3 linked regions of the Lepisosteus oculatus genome follow. The protein of the gene in region 3 purifies or fractionates together with the protein of the main gene of each other region. This does not show direct contact. Links are inferred from orthologs where the notes say so. Each region holds a gene or a part of one and is shown on either strand. Other genes may lie near its edges.

Region 1 (8,228 bases), on a different chromosome or scaffold from region 3:
CCACTGGCCTCCTGAACCTCTGATTGGAGGAGCAGGATGTCCCTCGCTGACATCACTCTCCAAGGCTGCAGGTGACGGGGAAGTCACAGGGGCCAGTCTTTCGCCAGAAGAGTCTACTGTGCAGTGCTCCATGGGAAATCCTTTCTCCGCTGACCAGTCACATGACCCAGACTTGAACTTGTGATGGACGGGATGTATCTTTAACCTGTACTGGGAGCACAATCTAACTGATCGAGAGCCCTCGGGAGCCCCTGCGCAATGAACGCTTGTATCTGAATTTTATAATCTGCGTGCTTGATTCCCCATCACACGCGTTGCTGTGCAGTTGAAAGTGGGAGACTATAACCTAACCTGTGCGGAGGTGCTTCCCACTGTTTTAACTAGTGCCTCTGCGAGGCTGCAGTGAGTGGTGGTGTCAGTGTGGTCTTCTTTGTTGTGCAGATGAAGATCCCCTCCAAGAAGCTGGCCCACATTCCGGTCTACACCGTGGGCTTTGAGAGTGGCACAGTCAGCCACCCCAGGAAGGGAGAGGTCTTTCAGTAAGTTACCTGGCGAGCCCTGGCTCCTGTCCCTCTTGCCACTACGTCTAGGACAACTGCAATAGGGAATGAACATTCATATTATTAGAATATCAAAATATTAATATGATCCGAAAAACCAACTTTCCGCTTCCCGGCTTTGGGAAACACCAAGAGATTATTAATATTCCTACCTAGAATTCATGGCAAATCGTACGCCTGCAGTCGCCATGATCCTGAAAGGTATCTCCAGACAGGTTGTCTTTCTCTCATGAGGACGCTCGACAGCGACGCTCCTCACAGCGCTCCTTCCCTGCTCTTTCTTTAGGTCCCTGCGGAGCCTGACGAGCCGCTCGGTGGAAGAGGAGTTCCCCCACCTCTACGCCAACGGCTGCAGCCTGAAGGACATCTGCTCTGAGTGCGCCAAGTTCGTGGGCGACGTCATCACCTCCAGCCGGAAGAGCTTGGACATCCTGAACAACACTCCCAAGAGAGCCCAGGCCGTCAGGGTGGGCCCTGGGAGAGGTGCCAAGTTCCAATAAAGTGCTTGCCTTTCACGCCATACGCCCTCCCTGAAAGAAAAACATAGCGCCATTTGTGTGTTGAAATAAACCTCGATGTTCCTCTTCTGGCATGGTACGAGTTACCGCCGCGCGTGAATGTCTTCTGGTTCCCACGACAAACGCCTCACGTTTGCGGCTGTTCTCTGCCTGAAGTTGTGATTCATTTGCTCCAGTCGCCTATTATAACCTCTTTTTCAAAACGTCATCGGAATACGTTTTAGAGAGACTTGACCCAGCACGCGCAAAATAAGCCCCCCCAAGGGGAATTAGCACTTGACCCGTTGGGATGTGTTGGAGTCTGCCTTCCCCAAGACGTACTGTAAGTGCTGCTTTTGCGATGTGAGCACTGGTTAAGAGGAAGGGTGAAGGTTTGTCACCCTAAAAGCGGGGCCAAAGAGAGAAGAAATGAGGAGCAAGGGAATGTGACCCTAAAATCCGTGGAGGTCATTGCCTCACAGTTGTTCTTCTTTATTTTGGACATCGAAAACTCCACGTGGAAAAACACAGCTTGCCACATCGTCGGTATCCAAATGAGAGTCTGCGAGCAGACCTGCTCTGTGTCTTGCGCCACCTGTTTCAACAAGAGCATCAAACACAGAGGTGGTTGACATTAATAGAAGCCACAAGGGGTGTCGGGGCTGTCTCTGTCGTCCCGCTGCAGAGAGCTGAGAGTTCACGCCGCCCGGCTGTGCAGGACCTGTGCAAAAGTGAAACTTTAGAAACTTTAGAGAACTTTAGAAATCATCTCGGGAAAGCTCTTCTGCTTCGTATGAGTATTGTCATCCAGGTGCTTCTGAAATCCCATGGTGAAAACATCTGTATCATAATTCAGTCTCTGTTGGGGGAAAATTTATTTTTTCTTTTTTTTTAATTTGTGGTTCAGAACGCAATGTCCAGTGTACAAAACAAAATCAATTTCATTCAGACCTCAGAATTTGAATGTCAGAATCATATTTTTATTGACTGGTGTACTCTATCACAATCCTTTTTTTGCTTTTTAAAATTTTGCTTTTCCAACTTATTTGGAGATTTTTCTTCTTTCTATCCTGAGTGGATGTGACCTGAACCGGTTACGTTTTATCTAGGTATTTTCCTCTGCAAGGAAGGATATTGAGCAAAATGATAGCTGCACTAATTTAGAAAGCTTCCACGTTGGCAGTATTTTGCTTTCACCGGCCAGTTTAAAGACATGATGGTGCAAAGCCTTTTTTCATGTCAGAACCCTGTAAACACTTAATAAAATTAAGCTGCAATAAATCTACATGGCCTGGCATCTGCGTTGTGACCATTTACAATCCATGTTACTTTTGATCAAACAATATACCATCATGGAGACCTGTAGTCAAGTCAGAATTGCTCAGCTTAACTCAGATGTTTCCCAAGAGTCTTGAGTCAGGTCCAGAGCTTCAGGATCCTTTAGCTGATATCACGAGTGAGTCTTGTTGACATGAGACACACGCGGGTCTGAATCCCAGCTATACCGAGTCAATGCAATTGTAAAAATATAAAATCTGTCCGAAAGAGACCCTTGATTCAAGCAAGTACAAGAATTTAATGCATTTCCTACATTTTTGCATGTACTGGAAATAAAACTAAAGAGAATAATTTTGAAACAGGAGAGTAAGAATTACCCTAAAAGCAGTATAGTATTTAATCATTGTCAGCAGGTATTTGCATTTGTATGAGGTCCCATAAAGTTATTCTGCTACAAATAAAGTTGCAACTCGTTTAATAAAAAACATTATAAAAAATCCATTTGCAAAATCCGTGTTCTCCCTTGAACATTCAATTTAGTCCTCGGCTGAGCATTCCCGAAGCTATGCTAGTAGGTGCATGATTAAAATATATTTTTCCACATAAATCAAGGTGCTAATCTAACACAATGTTCACGATCACCAATTGCATGGTAGAAGCACAAACTGCCTTCAAGATCTTCACTACAGCAGTTATATTTTTTGTTTGTTCTGTCAAACGTTCATACTTCTTCCAAGGTCACTGAATGTTTCTGGGTGTGGCACCTTAGTGTATATCACTTCATTGAATACAGTACATAAAACCTGGAAAAGAGCTTTGTTCAACTGAGCAAAAGCTTGCATCAGACAAGACATTGACAAGACATTCACACAGCATGCTGTGCAACTCTTCAGTGAGCTCTGCTGTAGGCTTATCCACACAGTTATCAATCTAATGAATAATAATGACAGTAAGAGCAACCACCATCATCATTTTACTTCTTTATACACAATGGTGTTAACAAAACACAATGAGATAGCTATTAAATAGAGAGCTAGAAACTATTTTCTAAAAAAATATCCTTTTTACTTTAAATAACTCTCAAACTCTTGGATGAATGGCTGCAAAAGTGTTTTAAATTCCGTTTCAGTTCCCACAGCATGAAGGAACACGCTGGGCTTTTTGAAGACTGGAGTGTTCCTGAGGGTCAGGGTAATTTGTCAAGTCTACCATAATTCTGCCAAGCACGATCAGATGTTGTGCATTTTTATGCCACTAGGTGGCAATAGCGACCCACAAACTTGAACAACATTTGCTGCGCTCTGTTTTTAAATGCGCTTCAAGAGTCAACGACAGATCTTCTGGATCAATATTAAGTGACTGTGGGACTTCGCCGAGACTACACAGTCAAGACTTGACAATGCAGTGTACTGTATATGTCACTTGAAGTAAAGTCTGCACTTACTGTACAATTTCAAGGCAAGAGACTCGATCAAGCCTGGTCGCAGGTCCAGATTGCTGACCACTCATCTAAAACTATCACCAAAGTTATACTGTAGTAACTGTGATCACGTGAGAGAGATTTGCTATTGTTATTTTTTACTTTATGGAAATACTATTTCAAAAATGATGCAAGCGAGAGAAGGCCCGTCTTGAGTAAAGAATTATTTCCTATTCTCCGTACCAAATAAATTCCCCTCCCTGGTTGTGGCACTGGTTGTGTGTCGTGGTTGTGCTACCCAGTGTGAAACCACCTTCAGCCTTACACCTTCAAATCTCTATCCTTTCAACTCAGTTTTGATCGAGATGGAAATGACTTAGCGCCCTTAAACTGTCCCTATCTGATAAACACCTGAGGCAAGGGGTGCTCTCTTCTTGAACTCTTTCCACAGCTTTTTTGTTGTTGTTGTTGTTGTTGTTGTTGTTGTTGTTGTTTTTGTGGTGCCGTGTGATGGCCAAAACTAACAACGCCATCCCAAGTAAAAGTCAGTCATTGAGAAAACACTTGGAAGCCCTCGAGTGCTAGAGGTCTCCTTAATGGAGCGCATTACTTGCTTCATTGATCGACAGCACGCCAGTTGTGTGTGTAATTGCGACACATCGCGTTAGCCGCCGGTCCCCGGCCGCGTCTGGATGGTTTTCGGCTGGCTGGTCGGGGTCAGGGCCCGGAGCCCCCCCGCCCACATGCGGCGACCCGCAGCCGGACACGTGTAGTTCAGGAGCAGGTATTTTTTGACAGGAGAGGCCCTTCCTCCTTATGAATAATAAACAGCCCCGTTTCCACGATTGGCCGCCGTCTCACCCTGCCCCGTTGTAAAGTTTTTATCCCCACCACCCTTCTCCTCTCCTCGGCTTTCCTTCATGAATAAATAAAAAAGTCGGTCTAACCTCTTATTTTCTTTCGCGAGTCAACTCGACTTCCAGCGCACTTTTCTGCTCAATGGGTTTGTGGGTGTGACGGGTTTTGCTTGTAACTTGGCGCTGATAAAGAAGGGAAAGAAAAAGTTGAACAACTATGACGGGCGTAGTTTAAAAAACGACCACGATGGCCGTCTGGACGAGAGCTGATAAGAACGGACTTCTGGACCTTCTGCTCCGGGACCGCTGGATTAGGGTCCTGGCAGAACTCACCCGTGAGACCCTAACTTTGACAGCGGATGCCGAGCCCATCGGACCGGGCGGCAGTGCGGATTACAGCCCCTCGCCGGGCCTGTGGAACGGGCTGTCGAACGGGACCGAGTCGGGCGGTCCGACCCGGACGCAGAGCCAGCACCCGAACCACGGCGCGCTGAGACGCACCGGGAGCCCGGCGGGCGGCGGGGTCAGTCGGGCTCAGACCGACACGGGCTACGCTTTCGGCAGCCCGGGCTCGGGCAGGATCGCTCAAGATAACGGCACCAGCTCCGACCTGGGCAGCCCCGGCTCCAGTTACGGCAGCCCCGGCTCAAGCTTCAGCAGCACCGGACCCCTGAGGCTGGGCGATACCCACCCCGGCCTGGAAAGTGCCGGCTCCGAGGCGGTGCGGAGAGTGCGAGTGGTGAAACAGGAGTCCGGCGGGCTCGGCATCAGCATCAAGGGGGGACGGGAGAACCGCATGCCCATTCTCATCTCCAAGATCTTCCCCGGGCTCGCCGCAGACCAGAGCCGGGCGCTGCGGGTCGGCGATGCCATCCTGTCGGTCAACGGCAACGACCTGCGGGAAGCCACGCACGATCAGGCCGTGCAGGCGCTGAAAAAGGCCGGCAAGGAGGTGACTCTGGAAGGTACGTGATCGCAGACGATCTCGGGGATTCACCTCTTTAGGCCACGGCGGTGGGTGGGAAAAGGTTTGTGCGCGGACTTCACCGGCTGGGACCGAAGTCGTGCGCGTAAAACTGGAAAGCGCGGAGGTTATTATTATGATTATTTTATTTTGTGTGTGTGTGCGCGCACAGAGATGAAGTAGCGAGACGAGCTTCTTTGAAGTGTTTTTGACTGCGGCATGCCTCAATCCGTCAACGAAACTCGGGGCTCACGGAATGAGGGAATCAATTACATTTAAGGGGGAATCGTAAATGCTTAAGATGCGAGTCAATTGGACAGATTTTTCGTGATGCAGGGTTCAGAAAATGTTGCTCCCTTGTTTTACACTGAATGCAGAAGTGCTTGTGGGATACCTTCATGCTCGAACTTGGGTCTACTGGGTACTTGAGCATTTCAGTGTATACTCGCCTTCTTTTAAAGATTTATATAAGCAAGACAGACGGCGCTACTCTGTTTATATTGCTGGTCGTTTCAAGATCCCGTCTAAGACCCTATTCCAGTCTTCAAATCCAAGCGCCTTTCTTCCTAAATCCCGTCGTTATCTGGAGGTGAGTGATCTGATGTACATGTTGAAACACCTCGCCGGCATGACACGCTCGTTACAGCGCCGCGAGGTTTGCAAAGGTGAGGCAGGTTGTTCTGGTGACTTCGACGTGTGTGGTTAATAACTGGAGCCACCGCCCTACTATTAATGAGCTTTTGATCGATCAATTAGTCCCCCTCCTCAGACCAGCTGGTACCGAACTGCAGCGGTGTCTCTCTGTCGAGCTCCGACAGGAAGTACGTCGCCGTCAAACCCAGTGTTTTGGAGAACATTTCACAGCAGTCATCTGTTCTCGTGGTTAAACATTTCACGCATTTTTTTCCAGTGTACTTCCTACACGGTGTTCTGGTATAAGTGTGTGTGTGTGGGGGGATTTTATAGAAATATTTTGCGCTGATCTACTTTGTCCTTCTTTGCGTAGCAGATAACAGTATGTACTGCCTTTCATCATGTGCTGGGCTCATAGTATAGCCTAGTTATCTGGAAAAATGGGACAGGAAACTCGTTCTGAGCCTTGTCCTTCGTTTTGAAGTTGCAGGAGACAGTTTCTCGTGCCATTCCTCCCACATTCACTGGAGTGTGTGACGTGAGGCGGGAGGCACAGGCTCCTACAGTGCTCCTCTTCACCGCTGTTCCTGCTGAGCCTGTATCTACAATGTAAGACTTGGGTCTTGTCTGGGAAAGCAGACACCCTGCTGGAGGCATAGCAGTTAAAGCAGCCAGCATGTCCTTGGAGAGTGGGAGGAAGCTGAAACCCCCCTTATTTGTGTGGCCTGACATGCAAACACCACACAAACGGTACCTCGGTTCAGAATCGAAGCCAGGATCCAAGAGCTGTGATGCGGCAGCCAGCGCTAACCTCCATGCCCTCATGTCGTCCCAACTGCAGGTCTGTGCGTCTGAAACAAAAACAGCCGGTGTGCTGTCCTTGCAGTTGTGCAGTACTTTCTGTCCACCCGTTTTCCAACCTCTTCTATCGGCGCGGTGCTGCTGGAGAGCCAGAGCCTTTCTCGGCGAGCACTGGGCGTAAGGCAGGGTACACCCTGGATGGGACACCAGTCCATCGCAGGGCACACACAGGCCCGAGCATGCTCACACTCACACTGTGTCACCGGGGCCAAAGTAGCAGAAGCCAGTTAACCTATTAAGATATTTTTGGACTGGGGGAGGAAACCGGAGCATCCGGAGGAAACCCCAATAAACTCGGGGAGAACATGCAAACTCCGGGCAGATAGCACCCCAGCAACTGAACCCAGGGCCCCAGCGCTGCGAGAGGGAAATTCTCCCGCCGACACCGTTCTTTCCATTAGACCCGTGTACCTTTCGTATTCAAGGAAAGCAATAAAGAATGCTTTTCCAAAATCGAGTGGCTCCTGTGTCTTATCCTAGAGTGCTGCTGTCCCCTGGTTTCAAATCCTCTTTAAATCATCGTGTAACTATTTAGGTCAAACTTTAGGTAGAAATGGAAGAAACTGACTTATGTTCTTTTATAATGGGAGAAGTCATGGAATGCGGTCAGATTATATTCATCCGCAGTGTCCTCCCTAGCTCCTGGAATGGTTGCAGAGGACAAAATTTGGACCCTCTTGTCCGAATCCCGTCCTTTTTCACTGGGATGGACCCGGGCTCGGAGCCTGGCTTGTGCCTGAAGCTGTTGGCAGCTCCGTTGGTAATGACCCGGAGGGTTGATCCCACCGGCGCCCTGGCCTGACCTTCCCGGTACTCTTCCGGGATCGTCCCCTGCCCGCGCGCTGGCCGAATGAAGTCCGCGGTCACGGGTTCGAGTCTGGGCATCCCTGCTGGCCGTCACGATGGAGCTCGGTGTGCTGGGGCTGGAGGAGAGGAAGCAGTTTGCTTCTCCGGGGGGACGCGCCAGTGCAATTAACCTGCTTAGGGACCCTTGGAACTTGTATTAAAAAAGAAAGGAATGAAGTCGCAGAATGTGCCCCTGCACTACAGGCGCGCTGACGTATTTATAATTAGTTCTCCCGTTCTGTTACATAATACAGTCTTAACGGGCTAAGAGAAAGCGCTAATCTGGAATTAGCACTCGTTGCTGAGACACTC
Region 2 (7,761 bases), on a different chromosome or scaffold from region 3:
ACATCCCCTGACCAATTTTTTTTTTTTTAGACTGTGGAATTTTAAAGCATTTAACAATCCTTCCTTCTACAGATCTGTGACATCTAAAAGCATAACTGATTTTTGTAGAGAACCGGGTGGTGCTGTTTTCCATAAGGTCTGTCTGTATTTAAAGACATACAAAAAAGACAGGAACCATCCTGGAACTGGTGTAACATATTGATCTTGACCCAGCTGACCACCTTTGCGAGGAGATGAGCAAATACAGTAAGCTCTTCAGCTTTGAACACTCAAAGCCACTTCCACAGAGCGGAGGAGCATCGTCGTGGCTCCTGTTCTCACTCTTGTGTTTGATCACCTCTATGAGATGGATCAGCACTTATTGATCAATCTCATAAAGGTGACTAATTTGACTTTAGTCTGGGAGCAACAATATATGGGATTACAGACATCCTTTTTCACAGAATCTTATTTTTAACTGCTAAAATTATGTTATACTCAAAACAAATGTAATTACAGTGAGGCAATTGGTGGAGTGCCACTGGGGTCTGCACTAGGAACCCTGCTCTTTGTCATTAATATCAATGATCTAGATCAGATGTCTTCAATCATGGTCTTGGAAAGCCCCAGTCCCTCTGGTTTTATAGGTCACCTGTTTTTTTAGCTACTGATGAATCGAGCAGGGCATCTGTTCAATAAAAAGAACTTTGGCTGAGGACTACTTAGACCTTAGTAATAAAATCTCTTGTTTAATTGATCATAATTGATCATAATTTTAATATTACATCACCTCTTTTAAATTGTTTTTTTTAAACTATGGTATACAGCTTAACATTTAATTTGCCATTATATCGCTTCCCCACATTGTCGAGAGGTTTTTAAGAAGTGACGACATGAACAAATAAATATTTTACTTAAGTAGCATCTTCTGTCTCCTGTTTTGTATTTCTATTTCATGCTTTTGCTACCTGAGGCGCTAAAGAAAGCAGTAAATATATGCGGTTATATGCAGTTAATAATGGAGTTAGGTCCGCTTGAGACAAGTACTTTATACCTGTCAAATACCAAGCTCTGTAACTGGGTATAGCTGTAAGCTGATTTGGACTTTAATCAATGAATAATAATTGAGCTTCTAAAAGCCAAAATATCCTCCTAATCAGTGTCATTGTTATAACTGTAAAATTATGGAAACATTCTTGTAGAAGCAATATCTCTTATACAATTAAGACAGCAGCCATATCACCCTGCAACTCACAGCTGGCAGCCCACTGAGGCTCAGCAGGTGTGAGCCTGGTCAGTACCTCGATAGGAGACTTCCTGGGAAAAACTAAGGTTGCTACTGGAAGAAGTATTAGTGGGCCAGCAGGGGGCGCTCACCCTGCAGTCTGTGTTTGTCCCACTGCCCCACTATAGTGACTGGGACACTATACTGTAAAGGTGATATTCTTTGGATGAGATTTAAAACTGAGGTCCTGATTCTCGTGGTCATTAAAAATCCCACGGTGTTTCTGGCCAAATTTCCCATTGGCCTTTACCAATCATGGCCTCCAGATAATGCCCATCTATGAATCATCATTACTCTCCTCCCCACTGATAGCTGGTGTGTGGTGAGTGTACTGGTGCACTATGTCTGCTCTTATATCATCCAGGTGGGGCTGCACACTGGTGGTGGTGGAGGGGAGTCCCCTTTACCTGTAAAGTGCTTTGAGTGGAGTATCCAGAGAAGTGCTATATAAATGTTTTAATAAGAACTTCTTTATTTCTTTAGAATTAATTTATTAGAATTTCTCCCAGAGCCACTTTTCAGTCTTAATTTATTAAATAATATTAATGTATATTCTCTGTTCTATTTTTAAGAATCAGATGCAATACTTATAAGGTGTTGTGTTTGACATTTTGTATTATTGCCACTACATTGCTTGATTTACGGGATTTAATTTAACTAGCTATTTAGCTGACAACTACTGTATACAATGATATTTAGTGGCCAAGACATTGACCAACACCGCAATGTTAAGATTCTGCCAGAAGGGGGCGGTATTTGCTGTTCTGCTCAGGGTGCTTTAATTATGTTGAGTCGGTGGCACTTTGAAGTTCGCAGGTCTGGACCAATTATCACGGAATAGTTAAATTCTTGACTTGTTTAGTTATAGTAGTCAAAATTAGATAAATTATATATTGTAAAGCAGGCATATCTAAAGGACTATTCGTTTTGGTTTTCCAACTATTGATACAAGTCTCAACGAGTAATTTTAGAAGATTTCATGTTGTTAAAAGTTGAAACGTATAGACTACAAATTAATGCTTGATGCAAATACGTTCTTGTTCTGTAACCTTTAGGCTTTTATGAATACTTGTTGCCTTTCAAAATACGTCTTTGGTGTACGTTGAGTTTTGTATTAAGGTTAAAAATCATCACTCCTATTAGCTACTTCAATAATTGACCACCAGGTGTCGCCCACAGCACCTGCTTTAAACTGGAGTATTAAAAGAAGAGGTCCGAACGAGGAATTTTCATTTATTACTATGGTAAACACTATGTGTCCATTTAAAGTATTTCTGTGAGATTTTAAACTGTTATTAAAATTGATTCATGGTTATTATTACATTATTATTGTTTTGTATTCTTGCCTGCAAGAAAGAACTCTGCAATGATCATTTCTGAGAGGGGTAGCGGTCCAGCATCAAGCACCTTTCCTCTGGCAATGATAAACTGCGAACCGTCAAACCGGAGGATTTCTTCGTGACATAATCTGAGCTCAGGGCAGATACCGAATTACCCTGTCAGATCCTCCCTTTCTGCATCTCGCATTTTCTTTTTAAAACTTTTGCCAGGACAAATGTTTTTTTTTTTAATATATATCGAAGCACAGTGAAATGATGGTAGAAGGCAGGGAAGCACCGAAATCACGACAAAAAGCTAAGTGTGTGAATCAAGTGTGGTAGAAACACAGAAAGCATTCATTCGTAAAAATATTGTAGATTTACTGCTGTGAACATCTCAAGAATTACAGCAGGGTTCCATAGCTCTGGTCTCTTTAAACGCCTGTAGGAATTAAAAGCCAGTTGGATAGAGACGAGTTCCATATAGGCCTTTAAAGATTTGATATAACATTTCATATAAAAGGGGCATTATGCCTGATAGATTATCGCAGTTTGGTTATTATTTTCAAATTACACACTGTTCCATGTTATTCTTGTACCCGAATATTCCTTTTAAAACACATTCAGTAACTGGGACACCTCAGGTGTACTGAACCATGTGAATATGTATGCAAAACACAGAAATATTCTTAACCCCAAGCCCAACCGGTAGATAAGGATTCTTTGCATCGGTACACAAAACTGACAAAAGAGTTATTGCTTTCATGACAGTTTCTTTTACCAGAATTTGTGCGTCATGCGAAATTGCTGTTTGTTTAAACGTTTTCTTCTTCTTGTGGAGTTCCGGATCTTTGCTATATACTGTATGTACAGTGTAAGCTCACTTCCCATACATTGAAAAACTAGTGCACTGCTGTGTATCTGTTTTTCGTTTGAGTTTACGAAGAAAAACGTAAGGCTTTGCAGGTGTATCTCAGCAGTTGTTTTACCTAGTCACCGTTTCTGTTTTTAAATGTTAGCAATTTTTACCAAGACCATATCAAATTTAAGCTTCTACTTAATATAGCTTTACATCTTAGTATTTGCATTTTAAACTATAATACTTTCGATTTAAAGCGTGTCACCTGTAATCAATGAAAATAAAAGAAACGTTTAAAAAGCAAGAACATTATTTTTTCCCTTGCAATAGCCTTAACATCTAATGCGGAGAAATACAGCGAGGACATGGACAGTTCCGACAAGTTAAAAACGTATTTTCTAACGGCTTATGAAGACGTCAAATGAAAATAGTAAATCTGTATTTGTAATCCATTATCATCCCTCATATACATGTATTTTGAAATGCGACGTTCAAATTTCAATTCGCAACTCGAATTTATCCCGTTTTACAGACACGTGTATCCCGTTCAGTCAACAGCTTCAAACTAAGATTTTGCAAGTTACATTATTGCTACTTCATCTTGGACATAGTTACATTTGTTAAAATCTGCCTTGAAATGCCTTTAGACGCTTCATGACTTCCTGCGTCGGAAACTTCGTGAAAATAAAACTATTTCAGCGTTGGCGTTTAGGGACCAAGAAAATGCAAACTATCTAAAAAGTCCCACCTGTAACTCACAGCTTTTGAGGAAATGAAAACGTTAAAACTTCCCGGAGAAAGCTCTTCTCTTTTTTTTTTTGCGTGTTGAAAACTTTGCTCGGTTTTTGTGGGATTTCCTAATGGGTTGCTCCACCCAAAAAGGATAAGGGGAGTGAGAGAGATTAGGCGGCTGAGGGAAAAAAAAAAGGATAAAAACTATTTCCCAAGCTCTCCGGAGTCCGAGAGTAAAGTCCTGAGTGTGTTTAATGACATGGCATTTTAAGAATGTTCCAAAGATGGCGGTGGCAACAGCAGTTCCGACAAGCAGGGTTCAGAAAAGTGGTTTTTTAGAAGTTTTGGTCCGGGATCGGTGGCACAAAGTTCTCGCCAGTTTAGGCGAAGAAGCCCTCACGCTGAGCTACGAGGAGCCCGGGGAGAATGTCAATCTGAATGGCATCACCAATGGATCATACGGGGGTCACCCCGATCCCACGAACAGCCCCAAAGCCCCTGTCAGGACAGCTTACACCGATTCACCCGAGCAAGTGCCGGAGGCGATAGCTAACAGAAAGAGAATCGTCAAAGTCATAAAGCAGGAGGTCGGGGGACTGGGGATCAGCATTAAGGGGGGCAAGGAAAATAAGATGCCGATACTCATCAGTAAGATCTTCAAGGGTCTAGCCGCGGATCAGACCCAGGCGCTGTATGTCGGGGACGCGATCCTGTCGGTGAACGGAGTGAATCTCCGGGACGCCACTCACGACGAGGCGGTGCAAGCGCTGAAGAGGGCTGGAAGAGAGGTGACGCTGGAAGGTAAGAGACGGAGAAACTTTTGTTGTTGTTGGTTTTTTTGCGCGGAACGGGAGAGAACTTCGGTATCAGCAATGGGGATATACAGTCACGTAAGAGACCGACAGTTTTAAAGTTAACTGGTGGGGGAATATTGTGTACATCCATCAGAAAAAAAAAGAAGAGGCGTGTAAAATGCGAAGCAATACAGAAATGGAAATAAAACCGTTAAATAACTAGTACAAATACATGAATTTTAAGGTCATAATGTAGTTTTACTCTTGATGTGTGTTGTTTCTGTCACGTGACGGACAATGTCACAGTTTCACGTTTAAGATTGTTGTGATTGTTTAACATTTAAGAGCAGTGCGATTGTTTGCCATTTACAATGTAAACTTCGCCGTAAAAATAGGTTATACAGTGAACTACAAAATCCATGGAATCAGTCATCCAATCGAATGGCGTGCAGGCTTACACCGTTCAACTTTCCCTAAGAGTAACTGTTTTGCAGACGGGCATGAGGTTAACAACTCTTGCATGGCCAGGAACAGGTTCACAAAAGAACAGTACTCGAAGTCTGTTTAACGTCACGTTTTCAATGTTTACATATGCTTGGACATAATAGCTGTCAGTACATTGAGTTCTCGCATAGATTATGCTCCACGTACGTAGATCTACATCTATCAAAAATGAGTGTACATACAGTATGATATTAAAGGGGGGGGGTCTTGTTTAAAAAAAGGAGTGAAGACGATTAAAAGGACACATTTAGCAGCTTGTTTCCCTCCTCAAAAGTTGCTTTGTTCGCAGTTTAACATTTCCCAGCCATTAATCTGCGTGTGCTTGTCGAAATTGAGGATGCGATCCTAAATGAATGGAAAAGTAAAAAAAAACAAACAAACCTTGACCTACGTATGTAAATTTCTATCGTAACATTTGGGCTTAAACACAGGCTGTACTGTAGCAAAATCTAAATAATAAATGCTAGAAAACAGCAAGTCTTACTCCACTTTAACAGTGTGAGTCAACTGGAAGTAAAGTCGGGGGGGGGAGATTAAAACTGCCGAGTTCAGATGTCAGCGGCCAAACAGTTTTTAAAGAAGCATTGTGCCAGGCAAGTGATGACCTGTTGTGGCCATAAAAAAAATTCACTGCAATATGTGAGGAGCAGGTTTTAGTGTGATGAACTTCTGGAGTAGTCAGTTGTCCAAATGGTCGTTACAAAGAGGCAGTTTGTGCAAGAGGCCAATCGGAAAGCACCCTCGATTGCTCAGCCAAGTTTCAGTGCAATTGGAGCAGTGGTTCCCCAGACGGGGGGAGCCTGAGGTGTCAGAATAAAATGGTGGACGGGTAGGCATTTGCTGGCGGTTTACCATGAACATTTTTGCTTCGTTTACATTTATGATGGTCAGTGAATACATAAATAATAAATGTTTGAGCAGGCTCTGCTGAAGTCAGGTGGGATTGCCAAAGACTTTGTGTTATATACTGAGATGCGTTAAAACACAACAAAATAAATGTATTGTTATATTTCATTATTCAAGAACAAGGCTGATGTATGTTTTAGTAATGCTGGGGCACTTATGGTACATTCATGTTTAAATCTTTTATCAAAAAGAAGGAAGTTAAGTGCTAAAGGTGTACATTTTTTCAATGCATGAGTTCAATACTTCATGTGTTCTCCATTTGCTGACAGACATGAAAAGGCATCAGTATCGCACAAGCGTTTATTTCTGTATGAGCCGGGAGTGATGCACACAGTTCAGTGGGTGTGCATGATCAAGGATCCCGAGGAAACGCACACACACACTTGTCCACTTCAGTGCACTACAAGGGTGCTCTATTGAGTTTATGTCAGGTGAATAGTGTGGCCAGTCTATCACACACACAATGTGCCATGCCAGGAAATATCTGATAATATTTGAAAGTCTGATATGGGACTGTGCATTGTCATGCATAAATGAAAGAGCATAATCTTGCACAAAGTAAGGTGCAATGTAAAGGCTGAGAACATTGTCTCTATAGTATTACATAGTCAAAGAACCTAGCTTCAGTGGGTTGCCAGTTGTGAGTTGCAACCATATCACCCTGCAGCCCTCTGAAGCTCAGCTGATCTGAGCCTGGTCAGTACCTGGATAGGAGACCTCCTGGGAAAAACTAAGGTTGCTGCTGGAAGAGGTGTTAGTGGGGCCAGCAGGGGGAGCTCACCCTGCGGTCTATGTTGGTCCTAATGCCCCAGTATAGTGACTGGGACACTGTACTTAAAAATCCCAGGGCATTTCTCGAAAAGAGTAAGGGGTTTAACCCCAGTGTCCTGGCCACAATTCCCATTGGCCCTTACCAATGTACTGTATGAGCTGAGATAAAAATAAACTCTATATTATGTTAATATTGTAATTATCTTCTAGTCATAGAACACTTTTTAAGTACATTTAATAAGTACCTTATCAACCCGTCTGTTAAAGTGGCCTCCTAATAATCCCCATCTATAATAATAATAATAATTGCTTACTAATTGCTCCATTCAAAGCGCTTTTCAGGTAATGGGGACTCCCCTCCACCACCACCAATGTGCAGCTTCCACCTGGATGATGCGACGGCAGCCATAGTGCGCCAGAACACTCACCACACACCAGCTCTCAGTGGGGAGGAGAGCAGAGTGATGTAGCCAATTCATAGAGGGGGATTATTAGGAGGCCATGATTGGTAAGGGCCAATGGGAAATTTGGCCAGGACACCGGGGTTACACCACTACTCTTTCTGAGAAACACCCTGGGATTTTTAATGACCACAGAGAGTCAGGACCTCGG
Region 3 (7,960 bases):
ATCACCCTGCTGTAAGCCTATAGAAAATTAAAAAAATGTTTCTTTAAATGTTTTGCCACAACTGCCTCTAAAAGACTTAGATGTTCCTTGTAAGTACAGTAGAACACTTTAAACTCAATAGGCAATTTGCACAATACAGTACGTTATGTGTTCACTCTTTTGCTGACAACCAGAGGACCAGACAGCTAAGCAATTTATGACTGCATAGGTCATTTCTAAAAGAATCTAAACAAAAAATAAGTTGCATGGTGCTCTAGAATATATAAGGAACCCAACACCTTGAATTTAATTTTATAATGCTTATTCTTGTTAAACTCCAACCCAGATTTATTTGATTTGAGCAGCAAAATAGAACAAGTAAGTTTCTTTAAACCTTTTCTTTTGCTAATGAACTCAGAAACTACTGTGCTGAAGACACTGTTAGCTTTATTACTGCTTCAAATATTTCAGCCAAAAAACACGCCATTCTGTCTCTTGAGAAAAGATGTTAAAAGTCTTAATACAGCCACTGTATTAAGACAGAACAATTGCAAAGTCCCAGTTTAATAGGCTTTAAAATGCAAGCTTTATATTCTAAAATTCTACCAAGCTTTGTATGCTTTAAGATTAGTGTATTAATATTTATAAGATGATGCTGCAGATTAAGAATAATTACGTTTTCCATGTAATCACTCTTTTGTTTCAAGCTAAGACTTTCTAACAAAAGGTTCCAGGACAAGGCAGCATCATCTAACATAGATTCCTGTCCCAGTTTGTTCGATATGCTACAGAATACTGCATTCAGGACTCACATCTATTAAATAATAAAATGAGTAAAGTGATCCAACACAACCGTTTCTCATTAGTCGTAATGGGATTAAATTATTTTATTGTGATTATCAATTCAGGGTGGTACAGTGGGTAGCACTGCATCATGGTCCTGGATTTAGAGCAGTCTAGGTGGAGTTCATGTGTTTGTCCATGTTTGTCCTGCGTGTTTTGTTTTGTGCCTGTGGATTTTCTCTAGATGCCTACCATAGTCCAAATACTGCACACACTGTCTGGGTAATTGGGATCTCAGAATGGCTCCCTGTTTGCTGGTTCGCAAGAGAGCCTTATTATGGATTTGTGTCCTTTCCAGGTTATAATCCTGCCTTGTATGCTGTGCTTACAGGGTTTTGATCCACTGCAAACCTCTAAGGATAAAGTAGTAACTAAAAATGGATGGATGGCTTATTAAAATAAGCAACACTCCTCAGAATGTACAAAATACAATTACACTGGACTGCTTCTCTTTAACAACAATGTCTGAAAGGGAAATAAGGAGTCATTTCTATGTTATTGCCATTACATTTTAAGCAATATTTTCTGGGCAAAGACCTACAGTACGCAACACTCCAGCCTATTAGAATGAGCAATCAGTGGCTATCACCTCTACTATTTAGTGAATACAAAATAGTAACACTATTATAACACTTCCTCCCACCAGTCGATTCAAGCATGATAGTTCTCAGAAAAATGTAAGATCAAAAGTCTGTTGTCATGCAGCTTTTTTTCCCCCTCCTAGTCAAGACCTATTTTTTGTTCTTTGTGTAACAGCGAGTTTTTTTTTTTCCATGTTAGCAAAGCTGTAAATCTCTCCCGACTGAGCCAGGAGAAGAGATATCAGCTTGCACTGTGGAGTGTGGTCAAGGACTGGATAGTTCTCATTGGACCTGAGAAGTGATAGGTTGTCTGGTTTCACACGAAGGGTAAAGAGACTGTCACTCCCATATCTCAAGGACAGAGGCCTCTTTGCCCTCTTGGGCCTGCAACAGGTGGCAGATTCTGTCCTCCCCTTTGCAATCATCCCTGGGGTTAAGTGTGCTGCTGGCAGAAGGATTATATCCAGTCTCATGCTGTTAAAAGGCTGAGAACTGGATTGTGTGTTGGGGCCAAACTGACCCTGAGAAACCCTCGCACAACTGCCTGAGGACCCAACAGCTATGAGACAGCAGCGCTTACTGCCATTCCACAGGGCCATGTCACTCAAATGAAAGCATACGGCAACTTCACCTTCTTCTAACTAACTGCACTAGAATTTGTATAAATCTGTGTGCCAAGTAAAATCGAAATCGCTGAGAGGTAAATTACGTTAGACACCAGGTCCCAGACAAGAAGCAGTTCTGTGATTTTGTGTTCTTTTCAAGTTTCGACAACAGAAAAGTCTAGAACTGTCCTTTTTCTAACCACCTGCTTCTAGTTCAATTTAATTTCAGGTCAGCTGTCAGATTATCCAATTAAGATGATTTATCCTACAAGACAAAGCTAACAATTTTCACGTACTACAGAAAGTAGCATTCTGAATACAAGAACGACACAATGCTCTGAAACCTTACAGCTGGGGTTTTTCTAAGCCGATCCAGATTTGTTTCACACAATCATCATCAAACCAAATCTAACGTAACTTCTGCTTCACTCTGTCCAGATTCTCTAAAGCTTTTTTTTATTAAAGCAAAATATGCCACAGCTGCACCTTGCCTGAAGCAGATCACAGCTGAGGATATGCCAAAAACATGCAGCCTTTGAGGACAATGGAAAAGTCTCAGTTTGCATTAGTCAGGAAATCCGAGGTTTCACTAGACATGTTTCCAAATATTAAACAGCTTCAAAATTAGCTGTCAAGTCTCATTTCTATATGTCAAAGCTTTTTTTTTTACAAATAAGCTGATATAGGGAAATTAGGAGCAGTAATTAAGCACAAAATCAGAGAGCAGCTGGGGAGGCATCAAGTTGGCAAAATGCAAGTACAGTTTGGTTTGCTGAAACAGATGCAGCAGTTATCTACAACAATACTGCTGGACCATTTCTGAGTTTTTTTTCTTTTGCTACTGTACACTCCCACCTCTTCAGGAATAAATTAATAAAAAAAAAACATTTGTGAAATAAAACAAAGTGGAACCAGCAGCAATAAACTCACATTGCTGCACTCATAACATCATATAAAGTAAGGAAAGATTCATTACAAGACACGGTATTATCAGTAAGCCCAAGTGGTTGTAATACTCTCTGGCAATTTCTACAGGGAATATTTTTTTGCTTCTTTCTTTCCTTCTAACCCACTTTCTAAAGCTAGACTGACTACTGTTTTTATTTTTTTGTTGTTTTTGGCTTACCTGACAAAATCTAATTCCCCAGTTCTTTTCATAACTACATGCAGTCTATTAATAGTTGATGACTGTTTTAAAGCAGATTTGTTTCACAGCAATGGTTTGTTTTCAGTCGGTATTCCCCCACTGAGGACTGTAACATTAAGTCTTCAAAACAAGGAGAAGAAGAGCAAGAGAAAAAAAAAGATCCATGCTGCTAATTCTGATAGATAGCCACAGCAAAAAAGACAACAAATAATCTTTTTTTTTTTCGGCAGTTTGACTGACACAACCCCTTTCAGTGCCTAGCAACAAATCCTCTTCCATCAAGCACAGGGCATTCTAACATATGCTCTGTCATGGTCAGTTTCTAATTACATTCATAACGATGTGATGGCGTTTGTAATCCTACCTTCCATGCCAGCTGCTTTCCCATTCACTCCATCACGCCAATAAGTTGGCGGCTGAAACCAATCTGGGCTGTGCAAAACGGCATCTTTTCCCTGCATCTGTCATCTTCCGGAGAGCATTCTATTACTGCCGACTGCTGGGAGCCAGAAAGTCTATTTGAATTCCAGCAGCTCCCTTCTTTCCTGCTTCAAGTTAGGCTAGGTGGGCATGTCTAACGTGATTCTCTCCATCATTTATTATGCAGCTGCTACACGATCGTGTCCTGCTAACCCTTTTTTTATCTGATACATCACTCGCAGTAACCTAGACCTTTCTGCTATAACACATCTGAAGCTACTACAGTAAAATCAAGGCTGCATGCACATCTGGATGTATATATATATACAGTACATTTTATATTTGGTTTTATATATGAAAAGGGAATACATTTTTTAAAATAGTAATTTATTTAAACATGCACATGCTGACACACTCTAGGTGTCAGAATTATCCTTCCATTCCTCTAAGATAGGAAGAATTAACATGAAAAATTGATTTGAAGGAACAGTTTTACCATGGTTAAAAGAAAATGCAGCAGAAGGCTAGTTTTGCAGGGATTTTATGACAAACTTTTCTTATCTGCATATCCACGCTCAGTGCTACACATACATTCAATCAATGATTTCCCAGAGCACACATCTAGAAAACTGCTGTTTGAAGTCATGTTTTCCATTGTCCTGTCAAGCTTGTCGTATACCTGCTGCTCTATAGACCTTGGGGCAGGTAGATTCTAGTGCGTCACTTTTTATTTTTAATCTTCTTTTAGATTGAAGTATTTTATGTTTAGTACAGGTGGGCATTTCATTTAGGAAGCTGAAAATACAAACCCCTCACCCACAAATCTCTTTTCTGCAGGTGCAACGTGTTTTTTTTTCCCTGTGTAAGTCTTTCACAGTGACGTAACCACTTCTGTCCCGAAAGAATGAAAGCTATGGGAAGCCTGCTGAGTTATACGACCAGTCTTTTGACCGACCAGATGCGTTTGCATGTCAGCGCACTGTGTGGTGGGGGATGCTTACGAGACAGAAGATTGAATCCCAGCAGGAGATAAACTGTGCATGTATCAGAGGCTTCACATTCAAGGAAGCTATGATGTTTGCTCCACTCCTGACTTTGCCACTGTAGTTAACGTTACTACTCTTTTGTGTTCTTTTCTGTCCATTGAGACTTTTTTGCAGACTCCTCCACAGTAAGGCTTCAGTAAGAGTCCTTATGGACAAACTATCACTGTATGTTTTCTCCTTTCTTGAATATAATTTGCCTAGCTTCATTTCTCTCAGCACATTTTCAGGCTCACCGTTTAAAAGAACGCTTCCAAATGTTCCTCTTACGTACAGTAGCTGAAGTTAAATGCTCCCTGTTATACTTCTTTCTGAAATGGTTAACACACTTTGTTTTTTACAAGTCAGTGTTCAGGAAACCATGCTGTACATATAGTTTTCCATTTGCATTTGGATGTAGAAGGTGTGCCCATTATTTTGTCTGCCAGATGTGCAATGTCTTCTGTCTTAACATTTATAATTATTTTGCAACCTTTTAAAATACATTTGAATATTACAAAGAAAACCTTTATACTGAATCAATTTAGACAACTTTTAAAAAGTGCCCATAATTCATATTATAATTTTAAAGACTTCACAATGCATGCGCACAAAGGTGTAAAACATTTGAAAAGCCCAACATGGAATCTAAAACCACAATAAAAAATGCCATTGGTAAGAGTGTCAAGGAAGGACACAATGCTAAAATCAAGGCACCAGTAGTGACTAGACATCAGTATATCATGTTGTTATACTGTATGTGTGCCAAAACACCAATATATTATTTTTGAATCCCTTTAGAATAGGGTCTAGAAGCAGCTCAATACTGCATTCATTCAATCTGATTGAATCGTTCAGCGATTTGTCTGACCCTGTTAATATACACCTTCTCATAAATTTAGAACCTTTCAACATGAAGAAAGAAGCTTTTAAAGCCAATAAAATAACAGGGAGGCAAGTATGCAACAATGATATCCAATCAGTTTTGCACTGCATTTCAATCAGCGCAGAATGCACAAAATTGCTGATCCTCTTAAGTTTGCTCTAAAAATGGCAAAACTCTGCACAAAAAAGAGCACAAAAACAAAGCCTTTTTCTAAAGTACATTGTTTTCTTTAAAAAGTCAGAAATATTTTAGCAGCTCGCAAACTGAAAGGCGTCTCATTTAAGCTGTCCTATAGTTATACACATTTCCAGGACACTGGAAATGTCCTCGTTAAACTGATTAAACTGATTTATTTAATCAATTCTTTTTTTGCCTCTTTTTTTATCTATTAAAATTTGGAGATAGCTTCATTACTTTTCTACTGCTTTTTCATCTCTGTCTGTATGTCTGATTTAGATACAGACAGATTTAAGTTTCGTTGCCCTAATATACTGTCTTCTGCTATTCTTTTCAATATCTATCATTGTCACTGGAACTACTGGAATAATTTGACGTCAGTGATTTTATTGCAGTGATTAAAGCATAGGTTTACCAGTGAACTTCACTTGCGGTCATTCTTATTTGCAAATGTAAAAACAACAAAGAACCTCATTAAAAAAAAAAACATTTTGCAGGACAAAATTAAAACCCGCTTCATTTTTTTCACTACCCTTTTCTAAATGAAGTTACTACGCCTATGAAGACAACTCACACTGTGACATTAATGACTGGTAGAATTCAAATGAAGCAGTAAATGGGAATTCTTCTGTATTGACAGAACCAGCAGCCAGAGGAGCAGAAGTTAGGATCTGTCTTTCTCTCCCTGAACTGCCAGAGAAAGTGGATTTTGCAGTGTACTTTGAGGATAATTCCCTTGCTGGCCCACAACTACAGAAAGAGATACATTTCAAATCCTGTCTCAAAGACAATCGGTTTGGTGGCTTGGTGCTCAAGGGAGGTCTGGAGTGGAGCATCCTTCTTCGAGAGACAATATCCTGTAAATGGTCTTGCTTTAACTGTTTGTTCTGGCTGTGAATCCCTTGTGGTAAAATAATGCACTAAAATATCTAAATGGCTTTGACAGTAACTGGTGCACCTTTTGTTTAATGGCAATGAAGAAATATAAATAGTGGCAATTCAGTTAATAAAAAATGTCATTTAAATAAAGCCTCTTGGCAAATATTCATAGAGGTGGGGGATTATGGCATTTATATAGGACAAATCGACATTTATTCTCATGATAGTGACATATGCAGTAGCATGTATTGTCACCTTCTTTTGTTTGGCTGTTTTATCTTTGACCACTCTTACAAAGCAACGTCTTGCTACAGGTCTTAATAGAAGGTCTGTTGCCAAGACAACAATATCTAGACCCCTAGAATAAGTTACAACAAGTTACAAAGGAGTTTTCAAGACATGATCTTCAAATTTGAAATTCTGAAATCTAGACAGCAGTTTTTTTTTGTGAAGAACTGTTGGTGAACAGTGTTGTACTAAAGGTTGTGAAACGAGATTTCTGAGACAATTTGGGGTGTGACTGGTTTTAAGTGCCATCAAATTAGTAAGAATCTAAATCTTGCCAAGGAAAAGCACAAGCAGATACAACATCACTATTCTGTGCCATCTCTACACTTGCAGACTAAAATAATTTTTCACCATGACAAGGACCCGAAATACCAAATAAAACATTCTTTTGGTCAGGAAATATATGTTTGGCAGAATATTGTATGTTAAAAATGTAAAATTATAAGCTATCATGAAGTTCTGTTTCAGTGAAGCATTCTGACATTATTTCTTAGGTTACCAGAATAATAATGAGCTAAATGTTGCAATAATCAATGAATTTCCAATGGTGAAAAGCACACATATAGTACCATAGTTCACAACAATTGCATTAATAAACTGCAGTATACTAAGAACTAGGGCGTTTGTAAAATTAGGAGTATAAATGATAAATCACAGAAATAAGAAAAATGAATGATTTTGAAACAATGCTATCATGTATTTTTTTGTTATTGTCTGATAAGAACAAAAATGAGAGAGTGAACAAAAAAAATAAAAATAAAGAAGTCCTCCAAAGTTGGGGGGGTGGGGTGTAGGTTGGTTAAAAAAAATAAACAATGATATCATGCAAAATAGCTGTCCATGATTAATCAACAAACACTGTGAACACTGCACTGATGTAACAACTATGAATACTATATTAAGCATTATTAAATGCAGCACATTTAAATATTTACATACAAACCAATAGCGAAGGAACATATTTGTCAAAAACTGAGGCCTAACTGTATTTCACAACAACTGGTGTGTTTGTCAAATAAGCCGAGCCATGCAGCCCGTTGAGAGTTTATCAGAAACAGCTGGTCTTAAAAGATATGAGAGAGAAGCTGGAAGCAAACTGCTAAACTGATCAAGTTCACCTAAAAAGACCGATG

The links.
Region 1: the proteins of dmd (region 3) and sntb2 purify together in Homo sapiens (co-immunoprecipitation; 4 studies listed by BioGRID and IntAct, counting the BioPlex papers as one, with this or other methods). This does not show direct contact. The link is inferred for Lepisosteus oculatus from reciprocal best matches to the Homo sapiens genes DMD and SNTB2.
Region 2: the proteins of dmd (region 3) and sntb1 purify together in Homo sapiens (co-immunoprecipitation; 4 studies listed by BioGRID and IntAct, counting the BioPlex papers as one, with this or other methods). This does not show direct contact. The link is inferred for Lepisosteus oculatus from reciprocal best matches to the Homo sapiens genes DMD and SNTB1.

Annotation. Positions count from the first base shown.
Region 1 is NC_090715.1:12,723,582-12,731,809, forward strand, and holds the start of sntb2 (beta-2-syntrophin), read left to right. Parts: upstream 1-4,638; 5' UTR 4,639-4,859; coding exon 4,860-5,577; intron 5,578-8,228. Other genes in the region: spire2 (protein spire homolog 2), read left to right, coding at 442-539, 847-1,060. UniProt on the Homo sapiens protein: Adapter protein that binds to and probably organizes the subcellular localization of a variety of membrane proteins. May link various receptors to the actin cytoskeleton and the dystrophin glycoprotein complex.
Region 2 is NC_090705.1:11,036,635-11,044,395, forward strand, and holds the start of sntb1 (beta-1-syntrophin), read left to right. Parts: upstream 1-4,085; 5' UTR 4,086-4,428; coding exon 4,429-4,975; intron 4,976-7,761. UniProt on the Homo sapiens protein: Adapter protein that binds to and probably organizes the subcellular localization of a variety of membrane proteins. May link various receptors to the actin cytoskeleton and the dystrophin glycoprotein complex.
Region 3 is NC_090710.1:29,679,618-29,687,577, reverse strand, and holds the start of dmd (dystrophin), read right to left. Parts: upstream 3,635-7,960; 5' UTR 3,617-3,634; coding exon 3,520-3,616; intron 1-3,519. UniProt on the Homo sapiens protein: Anchors the extracellular matrix to the cytoskeleton via F-actin. Ligand for dystroglycan.